Linked DNA regions of Notamacropus eugenii. The protein of the gene in region 1 interacts with the protein of each later gene in a biochemical or structural test. Links are inferred from orthologs where the notes say so. Each region holds a gene or a part of one and is shown in the gene's direction. Other genes may lie near its edges. The genes, in order: XIAP, HTRA3, UBE2M and TLE3.

Region 1 (7,090 bases):
ATCCTACTTAACCTTCAGCCGCATAGTTTGCATCTGAATACCGTGCTGTTAGGTAACTAGGTGTGCCCAGATCCGGGACAATCTCGAGGGCGGGGAGATCTCTCTCCCATCACGTTTCTTACGGGAAGAGGCGGAATTACTCGAGATAGCTCGGTTCACCTCGATTCCCTGCCGTTTCCTGGGGGGGTCTCGTGAGAGCTCTAAGATTTAGAAGCTCCCACCTTTACCCGCCCGAGACTGTCCACATGGAATTGAGCTTCCAATCCCAACAACAATCAAGAACTTTATTCAAGAGAATGACAATAATGAGCCAACCTACCAAAACTTATGGGATACTGCAAAAGCAGTTCTTAAGGGAAGTTTTATATCATTGAATGCCTACCTGAATAAAAGAGAGAAAGAGGAGATCAACAAACTGGGCAAGGAGCTGAAAAAGCTTGTAAAAGAACAAATTGAAAATTCCCAAGTAAATACCAAATTAGAAATACTGAAAACCAAAGGAGAGATCAATAAAATTGAAATTAAGAAATCTATTGAACTAATAAATAAAACTAAGACTTGGTTTTATGAAAAAAAACCAATAAAATTGATAAACCTTTGGTCAATTTGATTAAAAAAAAGAAAATCAAATTACCAATATCAAAAATGAAAAAGGTGAACTCATCTCTAATGAGGAGGAAATTAAAACAATAATTAGAGATTACATTGCCCAACTGTATGCCCATAAATTTGACAATGACTATTTAAAAAAATATAAATTGCCCAGATTAACAGAAGAAGAAGTTGAATACTTAAATAACCCCATCTCAGAAAAATAAATTGAATAAACTATCAATGAACTTCCTAGGAAAAAATCTCCAGGGTCAGATGGATTTACAAGTGAATTCTATCAAACGTTTAAAGAACAAATAATTCCAAAACTATATAGACTATTTGGGAAAATTGGTGAAGAAGGAATCCTACCAAATTCTTTTTATGATACAAATATGATTCTGGTACCTAAATCAGGAAGAGACAAAACAGAGAAAGAGAATTATAGACCAATTCCTCTAATGAATATAGATGCAAAAATTTTAAATAAGATTTCAGCAAAACGAATACAGCATCTTATCACGAGAATAATACATTATAATCAGGTAGGATTCATACCAGGAATGGAGGGCTGGTTCAATATTAGGAAAACTATTAGCATTATTGATCATATTGAGTGGGATAGACTTAGTGAAGACTCCTCAGATTGTAATTTTTCTCCCAGGGGTGAGGTAAGGCCTAAAGGCTCAAGGTTACAATATTTTTAGAATAGAATAGTTCCATATAAGGATATAAAACTGTGTAGTGTATTAGGGTCTCAATGATTGGACAAAACTTACATAATTCCTCGATGTCTTCATTTCAAAAGGGATTGGTTAGATTTCGTGTCTAGAATGTAAGACCATATTCTCAGCTAATGAGGATAATGGTCAGTGGGGGGAGGAGGGACTTGCGTTAGGGTCTATATAAATCACTGTCCTGTTCTTTGTCTTCGGCTTTCCTACTCCTACAGGTAAGCCCCGCTTCTCGAGAATCGACTAAATCACTTTTCTGTCATCACTTTGAGAGGCCTCTGAGTAATTGATTTATGTAGGGACCTGAGCCATCCCACACAATATCAACAACAAAACTATCAAAAACCACATGATTATCTCAATAGATGCAGAAAAAGCTTTTGACAAAATACAACACCCATTCCTATTAACAACACTGGAGAACATAGGAATAAAGGGAACTTTTCATAAAATAATAAGCAGTATCTATCTAAAACCTTCAGCAAGCATTATATGCAATGGGGATAAGCTAGATGCATTCCCAATAAGATCAGGGGTGAAACAAGGATGTCCATTATCACCACTATTATTCAATATGGTACTAGAAATGTTAGCTGTAGCAATTAGACAAGATAAAGATATTGAGGAATAAGAATAGCCAAAGAAGAAACTAAGTTATCACTCTTTGCAGATGATATGATGATTTACTTAGACAATCCCAGAGATTCAAGTAAAAAACTACTTGAAATAATAAACAACTTTGGCAAACTTGCAGGTTACAAAATAAACCCACACAAATCTTCTGCATTCCTATATATTAGCAACGAAGTCCAACAGCAAGAAATAGAAAGAGAAATCCCATTTAAAGCTAGGGTAGACACTATAAAATACTTAGGAGTTTACCTGCCAAAACAAACCCAGGGATTATATGAACACAATTACAAGACACTTTTTGCACAAATAAAGTCAGATTTAAGTAAGTGGAAAAACATCAATTGTTCATGGGTAGGCCGTGCTAATATAATAAAAATGACAATTCTACCTAAATTAATTTACTTATTTAGTGCCATACCAATTAAACTATCAGATAATTATTTTCTAGAGCTGGATAAAATAATATCAAAATTCATCTTGAAGAACAAAAGGTCCAGAATATCAAAGGGACTAATGAAAAGAAATGCTAGGGAAGGTGGCCTAGTGCTACCAGACCTCAAATTGTACTATAAAGCAGCAATTATCAAAACCACTTGGTATTGGCTAAGAAACAGAGAGGTAGACAAGTGGAATAGACTTGGCACTCAAGACACAGTAGGCAAGGAATATAGCAACCTCCTGTTTGATAAACCCAAGGACCCTAGCTTCTGGGATAAGAACACAGTTTGACAAAAATTGCTGGGAAAACTGGATAACAGTGTGGTGGAAATTAGGCATAGACCCATGCCTGACACTGTACACAAGAATAAAGTCCAAATGGGTACATGATTTAGGTATAAAGATTGATACCATGAATAAACTGGAGAAGCAAGGAATAGTGTATTTATCAGATTTATGGAGAAGGGAAGAATTTTTTACTAAAGAAGAGATAGAAAGCATTATGAAATGCAAAATGGATAATTTTGATTACATTAAACTGAGAAGTTTTTGCACAACCAAACCCAATGCAACCAAAATTCAGGGGGATGTAGTAATTTGGGAAAGAATTTTTACGGCTAAGCTCAGGGATAAAGGCCTCATTTCTAGAATATATAGAGAACTGACTCAAATGTATAACCATACAAGTCATTCCCCAATTGATAAATGGTCAAAGAATATGAACAGGCAGTTTTCAGAGAAAGAAATTAAAGATATCTATAATCATATGAAAAAATGCTCTAAATCACTATTGATTAGAGAGATGCAAATCAAAAGAACACATCACACCTATCAGATTGGCTAACACGACAAAACAGGAAGATGACACAAGTTGGAGAAGATGTGGGAGAGTTGGAACATTAATTCATTGTTGGTGGAGCTGCGAGCGCATCCAACCATTCTGGAGAGCAATTTGGAACTATGCCCAAAGGGCTACAAAAATGTGCATACCCTTTGACTCAGCAATATCGCTACTAGGACTGTATTCCCAAGATATCATAAAAATGGGAAAGGGTCCCACATGTACAAAAATACTGATTAACAGCTCTCTTTGTGGTGGTCAAGAACTGGAAGTCAAGGGGATGCCCACCAATTGGGGAATGGCTGAATAAATTACGGTATATGAATGTAATGGAATACTATTGTGCTGTAAGAAATGATGAACTGTTGTCTTTACTGTTAAAGAAAAATAATGTGATATTTGGGATGTGTATCTATTTAGAATTTATTTCAGTATACCGTATTATGTGTAGGGTCCAACTGCTTTCCATTGTCTCCTGTGGCTGTCGTTAAAACACCAGGTTCCCTTTTCATAGGAAGCCCTGGAGTGCTGCGTTCGCTCCCTTCTACCTCTGTTTGGTTCAGCTCGACTCCGCCCCCTCCTTTCTTCCTTAGGCCCTTCTCCATTTTTCCATCCTTCCCTTCCTTTACTCTCCCTGCTTCTCTCCTTGATCCTTTCCCCAACCAGCGAAAACCGGAAAAAACTTTGCGTAAAGCCCAGTGAGTCTTCCTGGGCATGCTGCCACGTAGCCCACCAGGCTGTCATCGGGCATGCGCCAAAGCTCACGCCACCTGACGCTACGGACGCCGCCTGACGCTACGGACGCCGCCTGACGCTACGGACGCCGCCTGACGCTACGGACGCCGCCTTTCATTTTCTCAGCTGACCCGCAGACGTTTTATCTCTGGGCCGTGGTCTCCTCTCTGGGAAGCGGCGCAGGTTGCACATGCGCGGTAGCTGCGGTTTTCGCTGGTTAGAAAGGTAAGTGAGTGGATGGGCAGGGTGAGAGGGAGGGGCCCAAAGTTAGAGGCAGGTATGGGAGAATCCCCCAATCCTCCTGGAAGTGGGGTCGATGTGTTTTCAGCCTCAGCGGGCTCAGTCCTTTCGGGCATGCCTGGGGAATTGAGTACTGGAGGGGTCCCCCAAGTAATTCTTGGTCCCATCCTCAGGTAGTCCCCCCCGGTGGGGCTGGGTACCAGCGCGGTCGGCCGCGGGTTTGGCGTGCGTTGCCTCTCCACGGACTTTCCTTTCTTTCTCGCTCGCTCTCTGTTCTCCTCCTGCTCTTGACTGTGACCAGGATCACGAGCAGCAGGAGGAGGCGGAGGGAAGAGGGCGGCGGCGCTCGGGGACTGCCCTGACCTCACTCGACTTTTCCTCTCTCTTCCGTAACGTGGGACAGGGACAGGCGTGGGGGCGGGCTGGTTTTTCCCCTTAGTCTTATCGAAAGGAGACGGAGGAGGAGGAAGGAAGGGGTCGTGGTGATCTAACTCTCCCTGACGGGGCTGGCTAGTGCAGTTGCAACTTCTGTCAGGTTATAGTTGTATCCACATTGGGGGGAGGGGGAGTGAAGAGAGCGGAAAGGAAAAAAGACTCACTTAAGAGGAAATGAGCCCATGATCCATCCCTCTGCTGCCAAAGCTCCTTTCCTAGCCAACTTTGTAGAACAAAAATGAATTTGAACTTGGTAGAAAACTTTTAAAAATAGCACAAAAAACCGAGTGGGCAAACCCTTCTTACTCCCCTCTCTCGAGCCTCTTCTTTCTCCGCCCCCCCCCCCACGCTACCCACAGCAATAATGTAGCCTTCTTCATTCGTTCCTAGCAAGTTTTAAGGCTGTCTGACATTGTATTCAAATATAGTTACTTCATAGCTAGAAAATGCCAAAACAATGATGTATTTGTTATGGGTTTACTTGGAGCTGACTGGTGATTGTTACTCTACAGCATTTTTGTTTAATATTTGCTGTTGCTGGATCAAGGAAACAGTGATAATGGAACGGGACTTGGAAATAACTTCCTTGTATTCAAACAGATATCAGACTAAGTTTTTAAAAAAGTATCACTTCTACAGCACCAAGTTTGTGTGTGAAACTGGATATTTGGGGCTTTTTATTAGGGAAAAATGAACAAGCATTTATTAGACATTTGCTATGTACCAGGCGTTGTGCTATATACTGAGGATACAAAACAATGCCTTCCCTCAAGGAGTTCCCATTCTATCTTGGGAGATGGCAAGTATTTGTGTGAGTATATACAAAATTCCTTGGCAGCTGGTGGTGGGATTCAGGAAAGGCCATGTGTAAGAGGAGATGATTGAGCTTTTCTTTGAAGGAAATGTTGGATTCTGAGAGGCTGAGATGGGGAGGGAGTGTGTTGCAGGCAGAGCAGTATATAGAAAAACATGAAGAAAATAGATGGTTTGTGTTGAGTGAGGAGGAGTAACAAAAAGTTTCAGTTTGGTTGGATTGTAGACTAGATAGATAGATAGATAGTATAGACTATAGTGTAAAGGAGAGTGATTTAGAACAAGTTGATAAAGTTGGAGGACAGTTCTTAAAAGTTTTAAATACCAAACAGGAATTTGTATTTGATCCATGAGGTAATAGGGAACCCAGGAAGTTTATTTAGCAGAACTCTTAACAGGGCCAAACAGATCTGTGCTTTAGAAATATCACTTTGATAGTTTTGTGGAGAATGAATCGAGAGGAGACACTTGTGGTAGAAAGCCCAATTAGAAAGCTATTGAATGATCCAGGCAGAGGTGATGAGGGCCTGAACTTGAGTGGTGTAGATGTGAGTGGAGAGAAGGGAAAGGATTCTGTAAATGTTATGGGGATAGAATGGACAGTACTTAGCAGCTGATTAAATATGTGGAATGAAACATCTGTAGTTCGTGTTGAGAGAATTCAATATGGTAAATGTGAGCCAGAGTGGGAAACGGAGCCTAGTTCTAGAACTTTCTTATTTCTCATTAATTTTTTTAAAAAGCCATTTTAAAATAGTTTCTTTTCAGTTGAAGAAAAAATATCAAAGTGGTGCAAGTATTAGTCTTCATTTTATACATTAGAAAAGTGAATAGACTAGCCTAAGATCCTATATGTCCCATATATAGCTAGTGAATGCTATATTGGGAACTCACACCTAAAGCTTCTGGTTCCAAGGCTGCCACATTGGGCTTGCCTTTATACATGTTGAATCGAGCAGATTGCAAGTTAAAGTGACAGGCAGCCCTTGCTTTTAAATGCGGTGCATTTCTTAAACTTGCATATTACTGTATCAGACTGCTCTTTTAGCGGCTTCTGTCCAGGAATTAATTGGTACCATTTAATGAATGAAGGGTTATTGGCTATGAGATGTGAGGTAAATAGTTGTTGTTTCTTTAATCAGGCAGTGCTGAATGAGTAAAGTAATGACAAATGGGGACTGTAATCTCTGTATTCCCTAGAAAATGGAGTTAAGAATAAATAGTGTATAAAATAGCTTGAAGTTCTTTTTTGAGAATGCTGTTGCTACTTGCTCACTAGTCCTTCATTCCTTAATCCTTTGTAATCTGGCTTACATACAGCTTTACTCAAATTATACTCACAGGTCACCAGCGATCACTTAATTTTAGGAAACCCAGCATCATTTACAGTCCTTATTTTTTCATATTTGATATGACTAATTCTCTTCAGGAATCCTTGTTCAAGAGGCTTTTCCAGGTCCGCCTAGTTCTTAATGCCTCCCTCCTTCTGTTTTCGTATAGATAAGTATTTGTTTATTTTTGAACATGTTTTGTTGTGATAGAATATAAGTTTGAAGGCAAGGTCTGCCTCACTTTTGTTGTATCTCTGGCACATAGTTTGTGATTAGTAAGTGTTTATTTGATTTTTAGA
Region 2 (7,472 bases), on another chromosome or scaffold:
GTTTCTTTTCTTCCTTGACCCAGAGAATCATTCATTACAAGAAAGAACAAAAAATGAAGAGAGGAAAAAAAGTTACTCAGCAAAACTTACTAATAAATACATCAACCACACCTGAAAAAATATATGAAATGTTCCATGCCAATAGAAGATACAAATTCTCTTTACTTTTGGGGGAGGACAGGCTTCACCCTTGTAATTACACAGCATTTAGTTTAGTTTTTATTGTTTCCAATTATAACACTGTAGTTATCACTTATATTACTTCCCTGGTTCTTCTTATTTCATATATATCTTTCCATGTACCTCTAAAATTCTTCATATTGATAAAGGCATAGGTGTAGGCTAGATTTCCCTCTTATTAGTTTATTTATTTTAACCATTAGTTAATTTAATTTAGAGCTGATTTTAGTCATCATCTCTAAAATTCAACTTAATAAACATTCAGCACAATAAAGATCAAACTCAAGAGACCCCACGGGAGGGGAATTACAGCTTCTTGGAAGAGGTGGTATTGGACTGAGCTTTGAAGGATGGGTAGGATTTCGATAGGCAGACATGAAAGCAGGGGTCAGATGTAATTAAATATACTGACTTGGTTTTTAATGTTGCTATTATAATTTGCAAGGGCAGCTAGGTGGCGCCATAGTGCACAGAGTGCCTGTCATCTTCCTGAGTTCAAATCCAGCCTCAGACACTTACTAGCTGTGGAACTCTGGGCAAGTTGCTTAACCCTGTCTGCCTCAGTTTCCTCATCTGTAAAAGGTGTTGCAGAAGGAAATGGCAAACCGCTGCAGGATATTTGCCAAGAAAACACCAAATGGGGTCACAAAGAGTGAGACGTGGCTAGTGACCAAACAACAGTAACTTGCAACATCCTTTTCTTCGGGCATAGTATTATTTCTCTGGAATAAGAGAATATATGGCCAAATGTATGGTTTTGAATGTCATCTTGGCAGCTATGTGAAAAATGTATTGGAGAGGGGAGAGATTAGAAGTAGGGAGACCAGATAACAACAACAACAAAATATAAATGAATAACCATACATCCTTTTTGGATTGCATTCATTATTTCATGTGCTCCTCACAGTAACAACAATAAGAACTCACATTTCTAGACTCTTTGACCTCTACAAAGCACTTTCCTCAGGATAACCTTGTGAAGTGGGCCAGGCAGGAATTATTATCCCCATTTTATAGATGAATAAACTGAGGTAATGAGATTAAGTGAAGTTATTAAAAATGTGAGTAATTCAAGCCAATTTAAAATACACATACACCCAAAATCTCAAAAAATATTCTCTCCCTCAATTATCTGGATTGCAGACATTGGGTTAACCATTGCACACAGTGTTTGCCCCTCTAGTTTATATTGTACTAGGTGAAGGGATAGTGGGATACAAAATATACACGTAAAGATAAATGTGAAATGTAGACCAAGTATGTGACTTGGTATGTATGAAAATAAGTAAATATGAATTGCATGCAAAGTGCCATCATTTTCCTGCTAAAAACTTTGAATGGCCCTCCTTTGTCTGAAGTATTTAACTTAGAGTCTTTAGAGTTTGGTACTTAAAGCCCTCTATACATCTCTCTCCCTAACATCTTTCCAACTGCATATCATACTGCTCTCCTCCCTACATTCTACTGTCTGCCAGGCTCTTATGCTTTTATACAAGTCCCCTGTGCCTGGGATGCACTCTATCCTCATCTCCACCTTCGAAAATCTTTATCTTCTTTCAAGCCTTCATCACTCTTTTAACAGAATAATTCAGTGAAAGGAGAACTGGCTTTGGAATCTGAGTTTGAATCTTGTCCCTGCCACTTTTTATTTTTTGTTTCTAGGGATAGTTCTTTGAGGCAAGGGAGGGACATTCATTCAAAAATGAAAATGAATAAAAAAAAGTTATTGATAAAAGTAAAAGGAAAAAATTATGAGGATGTTTTAAATTTTTGTACTATGCTGAGAATTCTTCCCCTTGCTCCACCCCATTTACAAACATTAATTTGCTTTTATATTTTAGTATTTGTTTTCCTTGTTTTGTCTTTCTAGGTGTCAATATAGTCACAGTGGGCAGAATATGGAAAGAGCACTGGACTGGGCTATAATCTAAGCTCTGCCATTAACTTGAAAAGTAATTTTGAGTAAATTATTTACCTCTCTGAACACCATTTTTCTTATCTGTAAATTTCAGGGAGTGGAGAGGAGATAAAGATCTCTTCTAGCTCAGTGTGTGCCCCCAAAGACAACCACCAAAAGACTTTTCATTTAAACCCATATAAACTCTAATAATTTCAAGTCTATAGGGCTGTCCTTGCGACAAACATGATCATAAAGTATAAATAGTATTATCCCCATACACAGGAAAATAGACTCTCCAGGAAAATGCTAGATAGGAGGAGAAGATACCAGGAACCCAAAGACCATTCTGATTCTGTGTGGAACTAAAGATGAGGCATTAGCACCAATCACCCCATCTGTTCTTTTCCTTTGGACATATTTCACACTTTTCATGCTGCTAAGACAATAGTTGCCAACTTTGGTTTTGCAACACCACAGAGTATTTTTAGTTATTGAGAAGGAGCCTTGTGAAACATTCTCCATTCTCACCAAATAAAATTAATGTTGACTCAATTTAATGGTATAATGAAGCTATTTATACAAGATAGTATGACCTGACCCTAAGCCACATGTGAAGGTATCCATGGAAAGAAAGATTTTGTTCTTTTTTAAAGGAGTTTCAGGTATTGAGAAAGAAATTCAGATTCATAGACTAGAGACTTCAGTCACTGTATAGTTTAACCCAGGGGTGGGAAACCTCTCGCCTCCAGGCCACATGTGGCCTTCTAGGTCCCTAGGTATAGACTTTTAACTGAGTCCAAGTTTTACAGAACTATCCTTTTATTAAGGGATTTGTTCTGTGAAGTTTGGATTCAGTCAAAGGGCCACACTTGAGGACATAGAGGGTCACATGTGGCCTTGAGTCCACAGGTTCCCCACCCCTGGTCTAACCCATATCTGAACAGGAATCTCTCTAATCAGGAATTATTAGCTATTAGCCTGTAAGCTTCTTGAGGGCAGGGACTGTCTGGCCTCTTTTTTGTATCCCCAACATTTAGTATAATGCCTGGCACATAGTAGGTACTTTAAAAAGTTTTGGTTTTTTAAAATTTATTTCAACATTCACTTTTATAAGATTTTTGAGTTCTAAAATTTCCCTCTCCCTCCCCATCTTCCCAAGCTGGCATGTAATCTGATATAGGCTATACATGTACAATTATATTAAACATATTTGTACATTAGTCATGTTGTGAAGAAGAATCAGAAACAAAAGGCAAAACGCAAGAAAGAGAAAAGAGCAAGAAAAAAATAGTATGCTTTGATCTGCATTCCGACTCCACCGTTCTTTCTATGGATGTGGATAGCATTTTCCATCATGAGTCTTTTGGAACTGTCTTAGTAACAGGGGTGGGGAACCTGTGGCCTGGAGGCCACATGTGGCCCTGTAGATCCTCAAGTGTGGCCCTTTGAATCCAAACTACAGAATAAATTCCCTTAATAAAAGAATTTGTTCTGTAAAACTTGAACTCAGTCAAAAGGCTGCACCCAAGGACCTAGAAGGCCAGATATGGCTTTGAGGCCACAAGTTCCCCATCTCTGAGAAGAGCAAAGTCTATAAAGTGGATCATCACAAATGTTGCTGTTATTGTGTGCAATGTTCTCCTGGTCCTGCTCACTTTAATCAGCAACAGTTCATGTTAAGTCTTTCCAGGTTTTTCTGAAATCCTCCTGCTCATCATTTCTGGTAGAACAACAGAACTCCATTACATTCATACATCACACCCTGTTCAGCCAATTCCCCAATTGATGGGCATCTGCTCAGTTTCCAATTCCTTGCTACCACAAAAAGAGCTGCTATAAATATTTTTGTACCTGCAAGCCGGTTTCCCATTTTTACGATCTCTTTGGGATACAGGCCTAGAAGTGGCATTGCTGGATCAAAGAGTATGCACAGTTTGATATCCCTTTGGGCATAGTTCCAAATTGCTCTCCAGAATGGTTGGATCAGTTCACAACTTCACCAACAATGCATTTGTGTTCCAATTAAAATTTTATTTTTTATTAATAGAGGGGGAAAGGAGAGGGAAGATGAACAGTAGGGCTACAGAGAGAGGGAAAAGAGGGCGGTGGAAAGCAAAGCTGAAGGTCGACAAAGGAAGTGGAAGAGGAGGGAGCAAAAGGTAAAGGAAAGTAGTTCGGAGTGTGGAGACAGAAGAGGAGGAGAAAGATTAGGCGCTGGAGTGAGGGGAAGAGGTGCTTGGATTTGGTTCCCTGAGGAGGTGGGGTCTGGCGCGGAGGCTGGTGGGAGGTGGGGTCTGGCTCGGAGGCTGGGCGCACAGCTGGCCCCAGACGCCTCCTCCTAGACAGCTGCAGCTGCCCCTAAGGCACAGCCCACATACATACCTCTTTGCGCCTGAGCTCTGGCTCCTGCAACCCAGCCTCCTCCTGTGGCAAGACTATAGCTCCCGGGATAATCCCTGGCTGCCGCGTCAAAACTCGGCAGCCAGACTTGAGGAGTCCTCTCCACTCTACTCCCACAACCCCCTCCCTCTTTCTTCGCTAGGGTGTGTATTGGGGGAGGAGCATTGAATGCCTGGCTCGGCTTTAAAATCTGGCTCCGCGCTCTCCTCCCAGCAAAGCAAGGGTAGAAGCCGCTGCCTTCACCTAGCACGACGCCCAAGGGACCCTCGGCTCATTGTGCATGCCCCAGGAAACCTCTCCAGTCCTGGTCTCACTTGATCCACCCAGTTCAGTGTGTCTGGAGCCTGCCTCCTCCCACCCACGTCTTCCCAGCCCCCCGCGGCTAGTCCTCGGTACGCTCTGGGCCCCAGAGCCCTCCGGAGCTCCTCTGGTACGGCTTCCTCTACTTTTAGCCACACGTCCCATTTGCCCGGCTGTGGCCGTCCGCGCTCCTTCGGCCGGTACCACAGGCGCGTCTGCCTTTGTTTGTCAGCTGTCCCAGCACGCGTCTGCCTTTGCAGCTGCAGCATCTGAGCCCTGAGACTAAGTGGAGAAAGGTGGCCATGCTTCGAAGCACCTGGCTGCTGTGCACCCTGGGGCTGCTGGCGCTGCTGCGCCCCTGTCGGGCAGAGCCCCTGGCATGTCCACCGCGCTGCGATGTCTCCAAGTGCCCCAGCCCCAGCTGCCCCGGAGGCTACGTGCCCGACAGCTGTAACTGCTGCCTGGTGTGCGCGGCCGCCGAGGGCGATGCGTGCGGCAGAAAGGACGACCCCCCGTGCGGAGACAGCTTGGAGTGTGGCCACCCGGCGGGCAAGCGCTTCGCCAAGGGAGTCTGCCAGTGCAAGCTGACCTACCAGGTGTGCGGCAGCGACGGGCGAACCTACGACAACGTGTGCCGGCTGAAGGCTGCCAGCCGCAAAGCCCTTCAGCAGGGGCTGCCCGCTGTCATTCAGATCCAGAAGGGCGCCTGCGAATCGGGTAAGGGAGCGCGGGCCCACTGTGCGCAGCCGGGGGGCAAGTCAAGAATCCGAAAGGTCTAGCCTGAGAGAGCTGGCGCGTGGCGTGGCACAGCTCGAAGGGGCCTTGGAAGTCGGAAAGTTAGAGAGCTCCCAAGAGAATTCTGCCCCGGGCATTGTCTCTGGCTCTCTCCCAAGCCTAGAATGCCTTTGTTTCAATTCTCTACCTCCTGACCTCTGGCTTTTTTTAAAGTCCCAGCTAAAATTCCATCTTCCACAGGAAGCTTTTCCCAACCACTCTTAATTCGAATACTTTCCCTCTCTGATTATTTCCTATTCATCCTGTATATAACATCTTTGTATCTATCTGTTGGCTTGTTGTCTCACCCCCATTAGATTGCGACCTCTCGAGAGCAGGGACTGCCTTTTGCTTCTTTTTGTATCCCCAAAGCCCTTAGCACAGTGCCTGGCACATAGTAGGCACTTGCTAAATGTTTCTTGATTGATTATTGATTGATTGACATGGATCAGTTCTGGAAACGAGCTTAGAATTTTCAAGTGTCAGATGTGAGAGAAGTCATAAAATGGCATAGTTAGAACAGAACTTAGAATTTAGAAGACAAAATAGAAGAGCTGGAAGCAACTTTATATTTTAGAACCTAAAGTATCTGAATTGGGAAGAACTTTAAGGCTTAGAATATCAAAGCTGACACCAAAGAATCACAGAAGTTTCAGACTTGGAAAGACTCTCAAAGAATATGGAGTCCAACCCATTCTTCAACCATAAGCCCCTTTTACTACATCTCCCAAGAAACAATCATGTAATCTTTGTTTGAAGGCTCCTAGTAAGGGGAAAGCTACAGCCTCTCCAGGCTGCTCATGATACTTTGAGATAACTCGAAAAGAGACTTTAAAATAGAGAATGTCCGAGGTAGACTTAGAATGTGAACCATAAGACAATAGAGCTAGGAGGGACCTTAGAGATCATCCCTTTAAAGATGAGGAAACTGAGCCCCAAAGAGGGGAAGTAACCCCAATACACACATCTCCACTGGTAGAACTCCTAGTCATACTTTAGACCCCAGAGAGTTAGTAGGAAAGTAGGCATTGGAAAAATGTCACCTCCTTCCTTGTCAGGGGATATTTGCAATGCTGCTTCCCAATGTACAAATGTGCTCTGATTAGGAAGCTTACCACAAAGGGGAATGGACCAGAGTCCAAAAATGGGAAGAAAGTTGAGGACCCAGTGATAGTTAACCTGGATCTCCCAAGTCCAACAGCCTAAGAAGTGCTTAACAAAGGACTATAGGAACATAAGATTATAGAGTTATAGCTGGGAGGCATCTCAGAGGTTCTCTTCTCTAGAGATGACATCTCATTTTATAGATAAGGAAACGAAGGCTTGAAGAAATGAAGGGACTTACCCAAGGTCACACAATGCCATATGATTCAATGGGAATCAAAAACACTGAGTTCTAATCTTAGCTCTAGCATTAATTTGCTATGTGACCTAAAACAAACTTTCTAAATATTAGTTTTGCCTGTAACATGAAAGGGTTATACTTTTTTCTCTGATGGTTCATTAGATGTTCTTAACAATGACCAAAGTGAATTGATGGTTCCAGTTCCATAGTCAATAAGAAATGTCTTTAAAATATCATCATATACAAAATGATCACAATATCCTTACAAGGATTATAACAACTCACAATATCACACTTTACAATTCAATTTCATCCATAATCTCAGTTGTTCTTCACAAAAACCCTAAGAAGTAGGTATTACAAGGAATATTTTCTCCACTTTGCAGAGGAGAAAAACAGATGGTTGGATTGGTGAAATGACTTTTTCAAAATACTGACCCAGGACTCCAGAGTTGGTGTTTAGAACTCAGGTCTATCTAATGCCATTTCTAGGACACAAGAACCTTCTTATAACATGACTCGATCAAGTATGCAATTTGGCACATCTTGAATCCTATACAATGGAGTTTGATT
Region 3 (7,353 bases), on another chromosome or scaffold:
TGTTCCTGGGGGGAGGAATAGACCAGTTAGAATGACCAGGACAGAACAGCACTCCCTCCACACACACCTCCTATACCCCTCTCCAAGGGAAGCAGCTGGCTCCAACCCAATGTGCCAGGCACCACCATCTATGGCTCAAGGCTCGGAGCTGTTACAAGCAGCCCTCATCTTTCTCTCATGTTTGCCTCACCACACTGATGGTGGGACACCCAGAGGGCTCTGCCTTAGAAATAGGGAGAATGAAGCAGAGAGCTGGGGGTCTTCTGCATGTCTCTGTGGGGGCCGCTGGCCTAAGTCTGGGGGTGACATCTTAAGGCTCCAGCCTTCTTTCTGGGCCTGGGTCTCCCTCTCCCACCCAGGCTGATGGGCACAGGAAGAGATTTAGCAGGGATGTTGTATCAGCTTTGTTCCCTCCTGCAACTCAGAGATGCCAGTTGCGACCCATCACACCAGGCTGCGAAGTTTTTCATTGTGTGTCTACCTTTTGAGGGGAGCAGTCCAACCTGGTGACTTCTCAAGTGTCTAAATCCTATCAACTCACTTGCTGTGCAGCCCTGCTCTGGAATGCCTGTTTCCTTATCTGTAAAATGAGGGCCTTGTCCTTTGGGACAACAGTGCACATTTACATGGTGCTGCTAAGGAAGGCTACTAAGCACTTACACGTGCTGTATCTCATTTGAGAGGAAGGTGATGTTATTAACTCCACTTTATAGACAAATAAACTGAGGTTGAGACAAGTGACTTGCTCATGGTAACACAGCTATACACATCTCCAGCACGCAGCATCCCATCCAATGGTCTATGAATCCAATGCGTCTTCCAGGTGAGAGTCCATTGTTGGAGGGTTAATACCGCCCCCACCCCCCAGGCAGGGACCTCTCCTCAGGTGGGAGGGGACTGTGGGCCAAGGTTGGCACCAACTGTCCTCACTGCACCTGCCCCAGCAGGCGCTGCCTGGGGCCTGCAGGAAGCCCAGTGCTACTGGAAGTTGGGCAGGAGACCCGAGGAGTCTGGGGTAAGCCCATTCCTAGCTCAGGGCTTCCTCAGTTTATTCCTGTGTCACCTGAACAGCCTGAACCAGGTAACCTCCACAGGTCTCTCAGTGCATTCCCCAATCCTCTTGTCTGTGTCTGCTGACCACCCTGACTACAGATGCACATTTCCCCCCATCTCCCCTGGGGTGTCCTGTAGCAGCCCAGAGCCCAGGGATGGAGAGGAGGCCCTGCCCAATCTCACCCCCACAGCCCAGTAGATAGGCCTCTCCATCCCTCAGGGCAGGAAAGATGCTTCAAAGGGCTGGCTGAATTCGATTCGATTCTATCAGTGAGAGGCCCTCCAGATACTCTCATGGCTCCCCTCTGCTGAGACCCTATGAGACGCTGAGGCCTAAAACCGTGAGCTCACTCTTTGGCCCCCCCTCTGCCTGCTGTCCCATCTCCTCCGACAGATCGCCCCTCCCCTTTGTCTCCAGTCTCTCCCTGGCCAGGGCTGTCCCTCCAGTCTAGCTGGCCCTCGGCTGCCACAGTGACCTCACCTCACTGGGAGCAGAGGCTCGTGTTTCCCTCCCGTGGCCCAAATACCCTCCATCCCCGCTTCAGACCAGGGGCCTCACCATCGGGTGGTGTCTTGCCAGCCTTGGCATCCCCCAGAAGTGAGTCCTCATTTTCCACACCCCCACTTTACTGATACTTCAGGGGAGCCAAAGCTCTCTCCCCTGGGTGGACTTGCTCTCAGGGAGACTGCAGGTGTTGGGGACGGGGGGCAGGAGAGCACAGCTGGAGATGCTTCTGGACGGGCAGAGCCCCTGCGGAGCTCACATGGGAAGCACCACTGGAACACGGCCAGAAGAGACAGCCAAAGCCGGAGGTGGAGCCCAGCTGGTGGCTGCCGCCACGAGGCCAGGGCCAAACCTGGACAGCAGGCCTAGGCACATGAGAGCAGGGGGTCGCTGCGGTTCTCCTCCCGTTCTCCCCCAAAACCCTGGGGTGCTGAAGAGGTGGGGATCCCCAGGGCCTCACCCCAAGAGATGCTGTCCTTCCTGTTGTGGCTGCAGGATGACCGTATCCAAGTCCCGTCCTTGACCATCATGCCCCCCTGAAAAGGCCTGGGGCTCTGCAAGGTCCGTGCTCACCGCAGACAGGGGCACAGACTGGATCACTCTGGAACTGTGGCCATCCTGTGACTCAGGGGAACCCAGGCCAGGATAAAGGGAGCAGGGGGTTGGGGTGGGACTGAAGCCAGAAGTAGGGGAGTTGGGAGGGATTTCTGGGGAGGAGAGTCTGGGCAGGATAGTGAACCCCAGCTCTCTTTCTCTGAAATCCTGGGCCCGGGGGGAGAACAGGAGCTCTGGAGAGGCCAGGACCATGTTCACTGGGAAGGCCAGTCCCCTGTGTCTGGAGGGGCTGAGCCTCAGAGAATGGAGCAAGCCCCGGCAGGACAGACTAGGGTCAATGGTCGAAGGGGCCCCCAGCAGTGGAGGAGCCTGGGCTTTCCCGCAGTGGGAGGAGGCAGAGCATGCCTTCAGAGGCGGGGAACTGGGCTGCAGGGAACCTGAAGGTCTGGGACTGGAGGTGTGGGGGGCTTTCTTGACTGGGTGGTATCTGGGTCTCAGGGAAGATGAGGCTCTGCCTTTGGAGGGGCTGGGACTGAAGGGGATGGGCTTCCCCTTCAGAGGCTGGACTTTTAGGCAGATAGAAGAGGACACCGTCCTGCAAGGAGAGGGGCTGGCCCTGGAGAGGGGGGGTCTCCCTTTCAGGGGATGAGATCTGGTCTGGGGGGAGCGGGAGGGACTCGGAGTACAGGGAGGAGGTGCCCCCATCGGGGAGCAGCTCTGGGGCCGGGGACAGCCGAGCACCCGGCATTGAGAGGGCATGGGGCTCTTCAGGAGAGGGGCTTGGGGTGCAGTGGAGACAGCGCCGAGGCGCCCCTGCGGAGGGGGGCCAGGGCCCTTCTGGAGATGGATGAGCCGGGGTCCCTGGGAGGCTGGAGGCAGAAGCAGCACCCTGCACTGCAGGGCGCTGGGGGCAAGGGGAAAAGGAGCCCCCGAAATGAGCAAGGGAGGGGGCCCTTTGCAGAGGGAGAGGCTGGGTCTGCAGCGGGAAGAGCCGAGGATGGGGGGCACGGCCTGGCACAGGAGCCGTAACGGCTTGGGGTAGCGCAGCTGCCCCCGCGGGTGGGGGTGCGCCATTGGCGCGTCCTTCAAGGCTCCCTCGGGCCGGCCACTGGCACCTAGGGGAGAGGGCGGACAGAGGGTGGGGGCCCTCCTCCAGGCCAGGCGCCCCTTCAGTGCTGACCCTCCAGCTCAAATGACACGTGAGGAAACTGAGGCAGACTGGTGACCCAGCTAGCAAGTGTCTGAGGCTGGATCTGAACTCAGGCTCAGGTGCGCCCCTCACGGTCGCGTGGCAGTCAATGAGCACTTATTAGGCACCTACAGTGTGCCAACCTGAGTGCACTGGGGTACGCAGGCAAAAAAGGACAGGGGTTTTGTCCGCCCCCTCCCCCACCGAAGCTGGCCAATGAGGTCTCAGTTCTCCTGGGTGAGACAGCCCCCCCCCCAAACGAGAAGAGACGCTCGAGAACTACTGAGGGGGTCGGCCGAAAGCAGCTCTTCCCCTCTCTCCAGTACAAACCCTGCAGGGCCCCATCCCCTCCCCATCACGTGCCCCCAGCCCCCGCTGGACTACGCTCCCCAGCAGGCGGCGCGCAGACTCCTTGCCCTTTCCCACAATGCTCAGCGATTCGGTTCTTAGGCGCAGGAGAAGCGGAGTTACCATGGGGATGAGGGCCCGCCTCCGCCTGCTCCCGGCTCGCGTCCTTCTCGCCTTCAGTCTCGGCCCCGGGACCAACCGCTTCTGAGGCGATGCGGTCTCCCTGGTGACGCCGGGACTCCCGCGCTCCCGCGGCGCCTCGCTGCCCCTCCTCCCGGCCTGCGGTTGTCATGGAGACCGAAAGCCCGGAAGCTGCAGCTCAGATTCGGTCATCCCCGCCTACTCCGCATTTCCGGGATATTCGTATAAGGCTAGCGCCACAGCCCCGCCCCCGGGCCTAGAGCCCGACGACTATTGGCACGCCCTCCGAGCCTTCTCCAATGGGCGGGCACGTAGGCGGGGCTGGCCTAAACTGACAGCTGCCAGCGCTGTCGCGGTCGATGTGTGCACTAAGAGCTCCCTGGAGACTAGTAACTCTCTTTCCTCCTCCCGTGGCCCCCCCCACCTCCGCCCTCCAAGAGCCTTCCTTCGCACCCCTCCCCCAGCCAGCTCGGTCGGCAGCCCGCAGGTCAATCTCCTCCGGAAGCGCCAGAAGCCCCCGCCCGGAAATGGCCGAGCGCGGCCCCGGACTGCGCGCCGCGTCTGCGCATGCGCGCCGCGGGGCCGACAGCGGCCAGAGCCGAAGCGGGGGAGGCGGCGGCGGAAATCACCGAAGCGTCGGGGCGCCCCGAGACCGTTGTCGAGGCCCTTCGCGACCGCCCAGGCTGAGGGCCTGGCCCAGGCCGAAGCCGGTTCGTAGCCTGTAAGCGAGAGAGAAAGAGGGACACAGAGAGACAGAGAAAGGGCAGCCGGGAACCCGATCTGGGACAGAGGAGGAGGAGAGGAGGGGGCGGGACCGAGAGCGGCCGCCGGGCGGGGGGCGGGGCGAAGCCGAAGCCCACTTCCGAAGGCACCCGAGCGGAGCCGAGCCCTTCCGGAGGGAGTCGAACACTTCCGAAGCGGACCGAGCGAGCTACGGGAGCCGAGACGGGCCGCGCAGCGCGGCGCTGAGCTGAGCAGCCGGGGCCGGAACGCGGAGGAGCCGGGCAGGGGCCGGAGGCGGGGGCTGGGGCGGGCAGGCGGCGGACAGTGGGCAGGGGCGGCCGGCCGGCCAGGGCCCCGAGGAGGCGGCGGCGGCGGCAGGATGATCAAGCTGTTCTCGCTGAAGCAGCAGAAGAAGGAGGAGGAGTCGGCGGGCGGCACCAAGGGCAGCAGCAAGAAGGCCTCCGCCGCGCAGCTCCGCATCCAGAAAGGTGCCCCGGGCGGAGGGGGGAGAGGGGGGAGAGGGCCGCCCCGCCCCCACCCCCACCTGCGACCAAGGGCTGCCCCCACCCCCCACCTGGGACCCAAGGCTGCCCCCACCCCCACCTGGTATCATCAACTGCCCCCACCCCCCACCTGGGACCAGGGGCTGCCCCCCCCCCCCCCCCCAACCGGGGCCATCTGCGGCCTCGTCCCCACCCCACCCCGGACCCGATCCTACCTGGACCAGCCCCTGACCTCAGGGTGTAGATGATGGTCCCCAGATAACTTGCCCTCCACTCTCCTCCAGACATTAATGAGCTCAACTTGCCTAAGACCTGCGAGATCGACTTTTCTGATCAGGACGACCTCCTCAACTTCAAGCTGGTCATCTGCCCGGATGAGGTGAGGGCCCCCTCCCCCCGCGTCGGTCATGTTGCCGCCATGGGCCTCTCCCGACTTCTGTCCTTCTCCAAGCCGTTCCCAGGGGCCTGGGGACTGTGTGCCGGGAGGTACCTGGAGCAGGCAGCCCCAATCAGCCTCCCCTCCTTTCCTTTCCCTTCTTTTTCCAGGGCTTCTACAAGGCTGGCAAGTTTGTGTTTAGTTTTAAGGTAAGTCTTTTGAAGGGGAGGGGCAGAAACTGCCCTGGGGGAGGGGCCGAGGGCCTCTGACTGCCTCTCTGTCCCCAGGTTGGCCAGGGTTACCCCCACGATCCACCCAAGGTGAAGTGTGAGACCATGGTTTATCACCCCAACATCGACCTTGAGGGCAATGTCTGCCTTAACATCCTCAGGTAAGTGGCCACCCCAACTTCCCCGGTGAGAACAAGGTCATTTCTGGCCTGCTGGCCCTTGAGGGGAACTTGTGAGGGTACAGTGGCCAAGACAGAGGACCAGAGGGTTACGGTCAGCCTGGTGCTGCTGGGGGTCAGCACTTTGGCAGTAGCCTTGAGGAGGAGATGGCCGGACAGGGCTCAGCAGAGAGCCATTGTGGAGAAGTGACCAAGCTGGAGACCAGGGAAGGGCACACAGATGTGGCTTGAACCTTCTTTTCCGATTTAGGACCCTGGGGGGAGGGTGGGCAGGATGGGATGAGGAGCACTGCCCGTGGGCCAGGAGGAGGTGGGGCTGCCCTGCTGAGGCCGAGCCCTTTGGGCTGGGGGGCGCTTCTCCTTCCACAGAGAGGACTGGAAACCAGTGCTAACGATAAACTCCATCATCTACGGGCTGCAGTATCTCTTCCTGGTGAGTGCGTGGGGGGGGCCGAGGGGAATGAGTGCGGGGGTGGAGGCCGTGGGGCGATGGGTGGGGGGGGTAGGGGGCCCCGGGCCTGACCGGATCCCGGCCCGCAGGAGCCCAACCCCGAGGATCCCCTGAACAAGGAGGCGGCCGAGGTCCTCCAGAACAACCGGCGCCTTTTCGAGCAGAACGTGCAGCGCTCCATGCGCGGCGGCTACATCGGCTCCACGTACTTTGAGCGCTGCCTCAAATAGGCGGGGGGCGGGCGGACGGACGGACAGCCCCGCCCCCCGAGCCGGCCCTCCCCCTCCTCCGGGCCCCCTCCCCCGGTCGGGGCGGGGGGCGGGGCGTCCGCGGCCCCCGGGCCACGTATTTATTGGGGGCCGGGGCCTCGCGCGGGAGTGGGGATGGGGAGGGGGCCTCCGGCCGCGCGCCGCCCCCAGTTCTTTTTTGGGTTTAGTTTTTTTAACCACGTGATTGATGGGCGCCGCCCTACCCCGCCCCCGTCGTCCGGATCAGAGAAGGGAAATGAATTGGATTGTCCCCGGACCCCGCCCCCACTCCCACTCGAGTTCGTGTCAGGTTATTAAAGGGGAATGTTGATGCAGTGCCTTTGCCTCCTGGCCTTCTGTCCGTGCGTGCGTCCCGTCTGTCCGTGCGGGGTTGGACCCGAACCTGCGGCCCCGGGGAAGGGGGGGCGGGGCTGGAGCGCCGGCCTGCACGCCGGCGCGCTCTGCGGGCCGTCCGACCCCGCGCGCCTGCGCACTACGGCTCTCGGCCCCGGGCGGGGCGCGTGCCAGTGACGTCACGGCGCCGGTATCCGGAAGCAGCGGCGGGTTGTGGGAGAAAGCAGGCGGCGAGCAGACCCCGGGCAGCGGCGGCGGCGGCGCGGGTGGGTGGCCCCGGAGTCCAGCGCGACCCGGGGGGCTTCCCGGAGGCGGCGGTTGTGCCTCCAGCTCGGGGCCGGTGAGTGAAGGCGCGCCCCCCCGCCCCCAGAGGACGCCGGCGTCCGGGCCTCAGCCCCCCTCCGACAGCCTCCTCGGGGGACCCCGCCTTCTGGTTCCCCCGATCTCGGAACGCAGCGCCCCCTCTAGGCCCCTCCTCCGGGACCCCGGCGTTCTGGG
Region 4 (6,925 bases), on another chromosome or scaffold:
GCAAGCCCCCACCCACCCCCATGGAAGAAAAAAAAAAAAAAACCTTTTGCCTCTCCTTTAATCCAGGCCTGGATTTCCTTCTTGCCCTGGTGACTCCCGTGTGAGCCAGGAATTCCTCTCCCACGTGGGGTGGACTCCAAGGTACTCAATTAGGCAGCCAATGAAAAGTCAGTTCTCCAGTAGCAAATGACCCTGACACTTCTTGTAACATAAACAGTTGAAACGTTTCCAATTAGAACTGGAGACAGAGACGTTTGAACTTTTTTTTTTTTAAATAATTGTCAAGCGCCTTGGATTGTGTGTGTGTTTTCTTTTTCCTTTCTCAAACACCAAGGTTAAAAATGTATTTTTTTTTTTTGCTCAACTTGCCTTGTGGTATGGGGTAGAAGTGGGTTTGTGAAGTTTAAAAAGAGATCCTGACCTCTTCTCTCTGTACCCTTAGTTTTTCCCCAATCCCCTTTATGCATAGAAGATGACTTGTCCCTAAAGACAGGAATCCCAGGTTTGAAAGAGTTGTTTAGGGCAACGGATTGAGGTAGTAATCTGAAGTCAGAGCTTTGGAAACCTCCCTATCTAACACTTTTGACCCTTCTCAGGTGGTTTTACCCAACAATAACAAGATGAAGCTGGTTTCAGAAAAATGAGGGATAGCCCTGCATGGGCCTCATCAAGAACCAGGGACTAGAGCGCAAAGCCGGTTTTTCTTTAGGCCAGAATTCTCCTCCACCTACCTGTGCAGCCTAGACCAGCCCCAGCGCTGTTCCATGGTATTCCTTCAACACCAGTCTTTCTCCCCACCCCCATCCAGGGGAGGGCAAAAGTCAACCAGGGGACGCTGCATCTTGAAGGCATTATATTTAATAAACGTGAGACTTGCATTACTTCTTCCCGCTTCCCTTACACTCCCTGTCCCCCTTCTTTTCGTCCCAAATAGAAATCCAACGTGGGTTCCCCCCTTTTTTCAAGACCTTTAACTACTCACTTTGATAACCATCTTCAAAGGGTACCTTTTAATTTAACCCCTTTCCCAATGCTGTCTTTTTTGCCCTAGCTCCACTGTGAGCACACCAACTCATCCTACTCAAACCAACCCCTCCTTTTCCAGACTCAACGACAACAAAAACGAGAGTCAGGTTCTTTTTTCATGGGTTGAAGCAACTACCTGCTTCATGTGTGTTGAGATGAGGACAGCTGAGGTTTTTTTTTTTTGTATGTGTGTATTTTTTTTTTTACCTTTTATTATTTAAATTGATACGTTTCATTACTAGGGAGAAAAATAAAATATTCCTTTGATACACAAAATCAAATTGATATTTAGCCTCTGCTTACTTTTTTATGCATGGCTCCTTTATACCACATGGTAGTGACAGATTGTTTGAGCTGGAAGGAAAAGCCATTCAAAGCTAATTAAGCAGCCATTCCAAGCACTATTTGCAAGCGGGAGGCTCAGAAGCCCAGGCATTTGTCAGCGCTCCCCGCCCCGCGTGGTTTTGACTGACAAGCCCTGCTGGAGAAAGACAGTCCCCACCGACTGCACCAATTGGCGACTAGCAGCTACCTCACCTTTTCGTGATTGGTTATTGGAGCCTTGACGGGGGGCGGAGTCGGCGAATCCCACGTGGGGCACCTGGCGAGGGAAGGGAGGGGTGAAAAGGGGAGGGTGAGCCCACCCGTGACGTAAGGGGGAGGGAAGAAAGGGGGGGAGGAGAAGAAGATAGAGAGAGGAGCCATTTTGTGTCTAATAGATGCTGTAGCCAGATGTTTGCATCTGCCGAACCGGGTTCTCCCCTTCACTCTTTCAGCTCCATACACTATTTTCATATTGGTGTAAATAAATAAATAGATTTTAAAATGTGGTGTTGGCAGGGCCTTGTTGTAATCGAGAGACAAGTGTTAACTCTTTAAGAAACTGAGGCACTCACGTGTAACTCCTTTTTCACCCTCCCTCCCTGGACTCGCAGCGTTGGAAAAGAGATCGCATCCTCCTCATTAAAATGCAAGCGCCAATCTCCGCTCTTAATGAGAGGAAAATATAGATCCAGGCCGAGGAAATAACCTCGCGACTGCGCTCGCGCGTGTCCTCTCCGGTTCTTCTTTCTCTCCAATTGTACCACCTCGCCAACATGTTGGGGAAGATCCTTTTTGCTAGCTTGCCCGCCTGCCCGCCAGCTCTTTCCTCCACTAGCCCGGAGCTGACATGGTTTATTGATGATTTACAGAAATGATAAAAGAAGAGGTGGTACGGGTGGAGAGGAGAGGATTGGGGAAAAGACTGAGAGAATAGTTATTGGCTTTCACCTGGCCATAATTGGTTGCTCAACCCTGATGGTTCTATGTTTGAGAATCCAGGTTTTTGTTCCTTTGTACAAGGAGGAAGAAGAAGGGTTTGTGTGTGGGGGGAGGGAAGTGTGTGTGTGTGTGTGTGTGTGTGTGTGTGTGTGTGTGTGTGTGTGTGTGCGCGCGCGCGCGGGGGGGGGGAGGGTGAGGTGGGTGGGGGTAAGACAGTGTCTTTTCTTTTTTTTTTCTTTTTAATTACACACACACACTAAAGGCCTTCTCTTTTTCCTCTCCAGATCCGGCCTGGAGTAACCCCGAGATATAGTGATAAAAGACTATCGGTGATGGGTTTACTGTTTCCCGTTCCACCTCTCTCTCTCTCTCCCCTCACCCGCCCCGACTTATGGCAGCAACCAGCTAGCCCGGGAGATCGGTTGGTCTTTCCAACAACTCAGAATCCTCCTACTCTTAGGGTGTACCCAGAAAGCGCTCTAGGTTAGTTTAGCGGGAGCCTGTACTAGGAGGTGCATTATCAGACCCTCAATCTTGTTTTTGCCTCAGAGCATTCTAATCCTATGGTGTGGAGTAAATTTAGTCCTCCTCTCTAATAGGCTTAATAAAATGCTGTGAGAGTGGATAGCTTTTCTAACTGGGGGGAAAACCCTCTGCTACTATCCCAGAGAGGCTACTGTGAGCATTACTTTGTAGTGAGAATGCAGGGATATTCAAATGATGTTTGGCGAGTGTGTAACTTGAATGATGGTTACCCAAGTACTTGACCAAGACTGCTCAGACTGGAAAGGAGACCAGAGTTCAGGGATATGTGAGTGAAACAGGTAGTCCGGGTGGAACCGGGTTGTTTCCATTTTTTGTTAGCAGCCAACCAAGAGTTCTTCAGACCTTCTCACTACCCATCTCACATCAAAGCGGGTGTTTATTTTGCGAAAAGACTGGAGCATGAAAGAGAAAATGGGGCGGAGGTGGGGGTTAGTAGGTTGAGGAAAAGAAAGGGCCGCCTGGCTATTCTGAACACATCTTTAAATTGGGGGTGGAGGGAGAAGCAACTTTGGGAACAACCATTTTATCCGCACTAAATCTTGTGAACTGAAAACATAAAAGTGACAAAGCGATTCTGTTTGTTTTATAGTATCTAATTGGACTGCTTTGCAGACCTAATGAGATTAGAGGGAGGAATCGTTCGCCGCCGCTGCAGAATAAACTGATACATTATTACAAGCCACAGGTTTTTTTAGAATTGTAGAGAGGATGTCTTTTTTTCTTTTGTTATTTCTCTTCCTTCTCCCTCCCGCCAGATAATTATTTGCTAGTGGATCGTGGGAAAAAAAAGAGGAGGGAAAAAAACACCCTAGCAGCCCAGGACCATAATATATATCTATTTATTATATGTCTTTCGGTTAATTCTTGATCTGAGGAGCGCTGTTTTTCACTCCCATGCGAAAGTCACCAGCGGGTAGGGGCTGATTGCTACTTTTCATGCATAGTTTTAGACACAAGAGGGCATTGTGACGTCGCCCCTGCAAGCACCCATTCGCAGGCCGAGTTCGGCCGCCCCACGTGGGGGTTCGGCGCTCCCATTGGCCAGCGCCGGGCAAAGCTGCCACATTATTTTGTTACTTTTCAGTCCCTATTTGGAACTGCTCTCGCGGCAGTTCAGACCTCGTGCTTGTCCCTCTAGCCTCTGTCTGTGTGTGGTATCCGCAAGGTCCGGGGCACTTTTTTTTTTTTTGGTGTGAGTGTATGTACGTGTGTGTGAGTGTGTGTTTTGGGGGTTAGTAGAGGAAAGAGGAAAGGAGAGGGGCCGAGTGGAAAGCCACAGAGCTCTCTTGTCTTGCTGGGTCTTTCCTCTCGAGCGTCTCCCCTTTGCCCGTCCGCCGAGGCAGCAGCAAGAGGGCTTTCTTGTCTTCGGGATTTGCCATTCTCTGGCTTTGAGGAGAGCCAATTTCTCCCTGGAGTGGACCCTGGCTAGTTCCTTCCTGCGCCTGGTGGAGTTAGGATGCCAAGCAGTTGAATCGAATCTACTTAGAAGCGGCTTTTCTCCAGCTCCGGGAAGGGAATTGAAGCCACAGCCACCGCGGAGGAGCAGCTGGGTTCTCCGAGGGGGGTGGGGGGAGGGTGGTCAAACGGCCTGAGCTGAGCTCCTGTCCTCACTCCTCGGCACTCTCACCGCCTCAGCTCGCCACCTTGGTCCTTCCTAATTCATCCTTTCTCCTCCGGGAGGGCTTTCTTCGGAGCCAGCGCGGAGCCCGGCTACGTAGGGGAGCTTGTGAGCGCTCGGGTTGGTGGAGCTGTCTGGTCGTGGCCCCCTCCCAGCCCGGCGGCGGTGATTCGAAGGAGGGGGTAGAGGAGGTCAGTAGTAGCTGCATCCACTGGTCTCGGGACTCCAACGCCGGACACCGCACCCTCCCCCGGTGAATCCGCGGGGAGGACAAGGATGTCTACGAACCCCCCGAGTCTGACTCCCTCTTCGCACTCGAGGGAAACCGGCCGGCTGCTGGCGGCGGAGCCCTAGCTAGACAAAGACAAGGAGACCCCCCCATTCCCCACCCCCAGCAAGCTTGGCCCCGGCCTCCCCATTCGCTTTCTGGAAGGACTTTTTTTCCCCTTAATTTTTCCTTGGCTCTTTGTTTCTACTTGTGTCTGGTTCCTGAGCCTGGGATATTGTTCCGAGAGTGGGGTGGGGGGGCGCGGGGGAAACCGCTCAATTTCCCTGCCGCCCCCTGGTCCGGCTTTCCCCGCTCCCCCTCTCCCTCACCTCCGCGGGTTCAGGTCTCTGTGCTTCCACCTACTCTCGCAGAATCACGACCCCTCCCTGCGATGTATCCGCAAGGCAGACATCCGGTGAGTAATTGTAACTAGATTTATTTAATCATCTATCATTGGAGGGTAAATGAAGCTGTTTATCTTGCACCTCCATTTTGCTTGTTACCTTTATGGTGTGTGTGCGTGCGTGCGTGTGTGTTTGTGTGTGTTTGTGTGTGTGAGTGTGTGCGTGTGTGCGCACTCTAACACAAAGAGGGAGGAAAGGGGGGGGCGGGGGCGGGCTGGCGGACCGAGATGTTTAAAGCCTTCTGGTGCGCTTTGGTGCGGCTGGTGTAGGAAGATGAAGTGCTTTCACACATACACTCCTTCAGTCCCCCCACTCACCCCCACCTCTGCGTCTAAACAAACAGTGCTTTCCCCCTCCCATTCCTTCCATGGGATGCCGCTGGGATGGAAACCCTGTAATGGAGGGAAGTGCTTTGGGGTGCCTCTTCTCACGGTAGCTAAGAAACTTGGGTCTGAGGGGAGGATCTGGTTTGGAGGGTTGAATAGACTGGAGCAGCCGCGCGGATTGGAGGGGGGCGGGGGGGGGGGTGCTGCTCCAAGGCTAAGTAATCGAGAGAGGCAGGACTAGGGGGCAGATGGTCGCTGTTTTGCCTGTCCGGATCCCTTCACTGATCTCTTTACTCCTCTCTCCCTACGTCTGTCTTCCCCTGACTCTAGGCTCCCCATCAACCCGGGCAGCCAGGTTTTAAATTTACTGTGGCTGAGTCCTGTGATCGAATCAAAGACGAATTCCAGTTCTTACAAGCTCAGTATCACAGGTAAGGTGCGAGATGGAGGCTGGGAGCTAGGCAGATCCCCAGGGTCCCTCAGCACACTCTTCCCCTGTTTCCCTAGGGGTTCAGAAATCCCCGCGGAGGAGAAAAGACTTGGGGGTGCAATCCTTCATTTCCCCATTCGAAGCGGTCCCAGTTTAACTGTTTGTCACCCGGAGACTTCAGTCTATACTCTCAATACCATCCCTTCATTCCCAGAGAAGTTTGGGGTAATTTTGAAAGGGGTTCAAGGGTGAAGATTGCTCCCTGCTCCCGTGCCAGGTTTTGATTTTAGGGTCTTTCGCCACTTTCTTTACTGACCTCCCCCAACCTAGGTCTCAGAGAAAGTTGACCACCCTTCTTGAGGGTGGTGGGGCTGTAAATGTGGATAAGTTGATTTTCCTATGCCAACTGGAAATTGTATAGTGCTCTGGGCAGGTAGAACAGTGACTTTTAAAGTCCTCTTTCTTGCCTTGTATATATTACTAGGACCTTTTCTACCCTCCAGTCTCCAATCCCACCTCCCTAAAAGACTCTTTGCTTGTGAGTACGTTCTGAAAATTATCTGGTTTTGATCTTTATAGTCTCAAAGTGGAGTACGACAAGCTCGCCAACGAGAAGACAGAAATGCAGCGCCATTATGTTATGGTAAGAGCTGATCTACAGAATGGCCCAAGAGTTGGGAGTTAGGGAGTTTTGGAGGAGGGAGGACCAAGGGTGGTGAGTGGACAACAGAGGTAAAGTCAGACCGGAGCCCAAACTTGGAAAATACGATGTGTGTGGAGAGGGAGAGCAAGGAAGGTGGACATTTGGTGAAGAACTGAGAACAACGTTTCAGTCTCTGTTTTTCCCTCTTATCCTTCTAACTCCAGGGTTCCTAGGTTCTGTCTAGGATGCTCAGCAGGAAAATCCTTCTATCTACATTAAAGGGGGATGCTACTGTAATAAAAAGAGACACTTTAGCTCACAATTGTTGGGGCTGGAATCAAAAGGAGAACTGGTCCCATACACTGACCTCTCTCCAAGTGTCTATTACTTGTTTTTGTTTT

Evidence for each region.
Region 2: of the proteins of XIAP (region 1) and HTRA3, one has a biochemical effect on the other in vitro, tested with the Homo sapiens proteins (3 studies listed by BioGRID and IntAct, with this or other methods). The link is inferred for Notamacropus eugenii from reciprocal best matches to the Homo sapiens genes XIAP and HTRA3.
Region 3: the proteins of XIAP (region 1) and UBE2M form a complex in vitro, tested with the Homo sapiens proteins (2 studies listed by BioGRID). The link is inferred for Notamacropus eugenii from reciprocal best matches to the Homo sapiens genes XIAP and UBE2M.
Region 4: of the proteins of XIAP (region 1) and TLE3, one has a biochemical effect on the other in vitro, tested with the Homo sapiens proteins (2 studies listed by BioGRID). The link is inferred for Notamacropus eugenii from reciprocal best matches to the Homo sapiens genes XIAP and TLE3.

Annotation. Positions count from the first base shown.
Region 1 is NC_092879.1:46,933,236-46,940,325, forward strand, and holds the start of XIAP (E3 ubiquitin-protein ligase XIAP), read left to right. Parts: upstream 1-4,089; 5' UTR 4,090-4,197; intron 4,198-7,090.
Region 2 is NC_092877.1:56,221,562-56,229,033, reverse strand, and holds the start of HTRA3 (serine protease HTRA3), read left to right. Parts: upstream 1-4,468; 5' UTR 4,469-5,082; coding exon 5,083-5,497; intron 5,498-7,472. UniProt on the Homo sapiens protein: Serine protease that cleaves beta-casein/CSN2 as well as several extracellular matrix (ECM) proteoglycans such as decorin/DCN, biglycan/BGN and fibronectin/FN1.
Region 3 is NC_092876.1:990,852-998,204, reverse strand, and holds UBE2M (NEDD8-conjugating enzyme Ubc12), read left to right. Parts: upstream 1-4,625; 5' UTR 4,626-4,893; coding exon 4,894-5,002; intron 5,003-5,301; coding exon 5,302-5,396; intron 5,397-5,563; coding exon 5,564-5,602; intron 5,603-5,680; coding exon 5,681-5,784; intron 5,785-6,171; coding exon 6,172-6,235; intron 6,236-6,342; coding exon 6,343-6,483; 3' UTR 6,484-6,839; downstream 6,840-7,353. Other genes in the region: uncharacterized protein, read right to left, coding at 1,731-1,923, 2,019-3,228, 3,774-3,942.
Region 4 is NC_092872.1:133,848,644-133,855,568, reverse strand, and holds the start of TLE3 (transducin-like enhancer protein 3), read left to right. Parts: upstream 1-3,903; 5' UTR 3,904-5,112; coding exon 5,113-5,136; intron 5,137-5,781; coding exon 5,782-5,882; intron 5,883-6,460; coding exon 6,461-6,524; intron 6,525-6,925. UniProt on the Homo sapiens protein: Transcriptional corepressor that binds to a number of transcription factors. Inhibits the transcriptional activation mediated by CTNNB1 and TCF family members in Wnt signaling.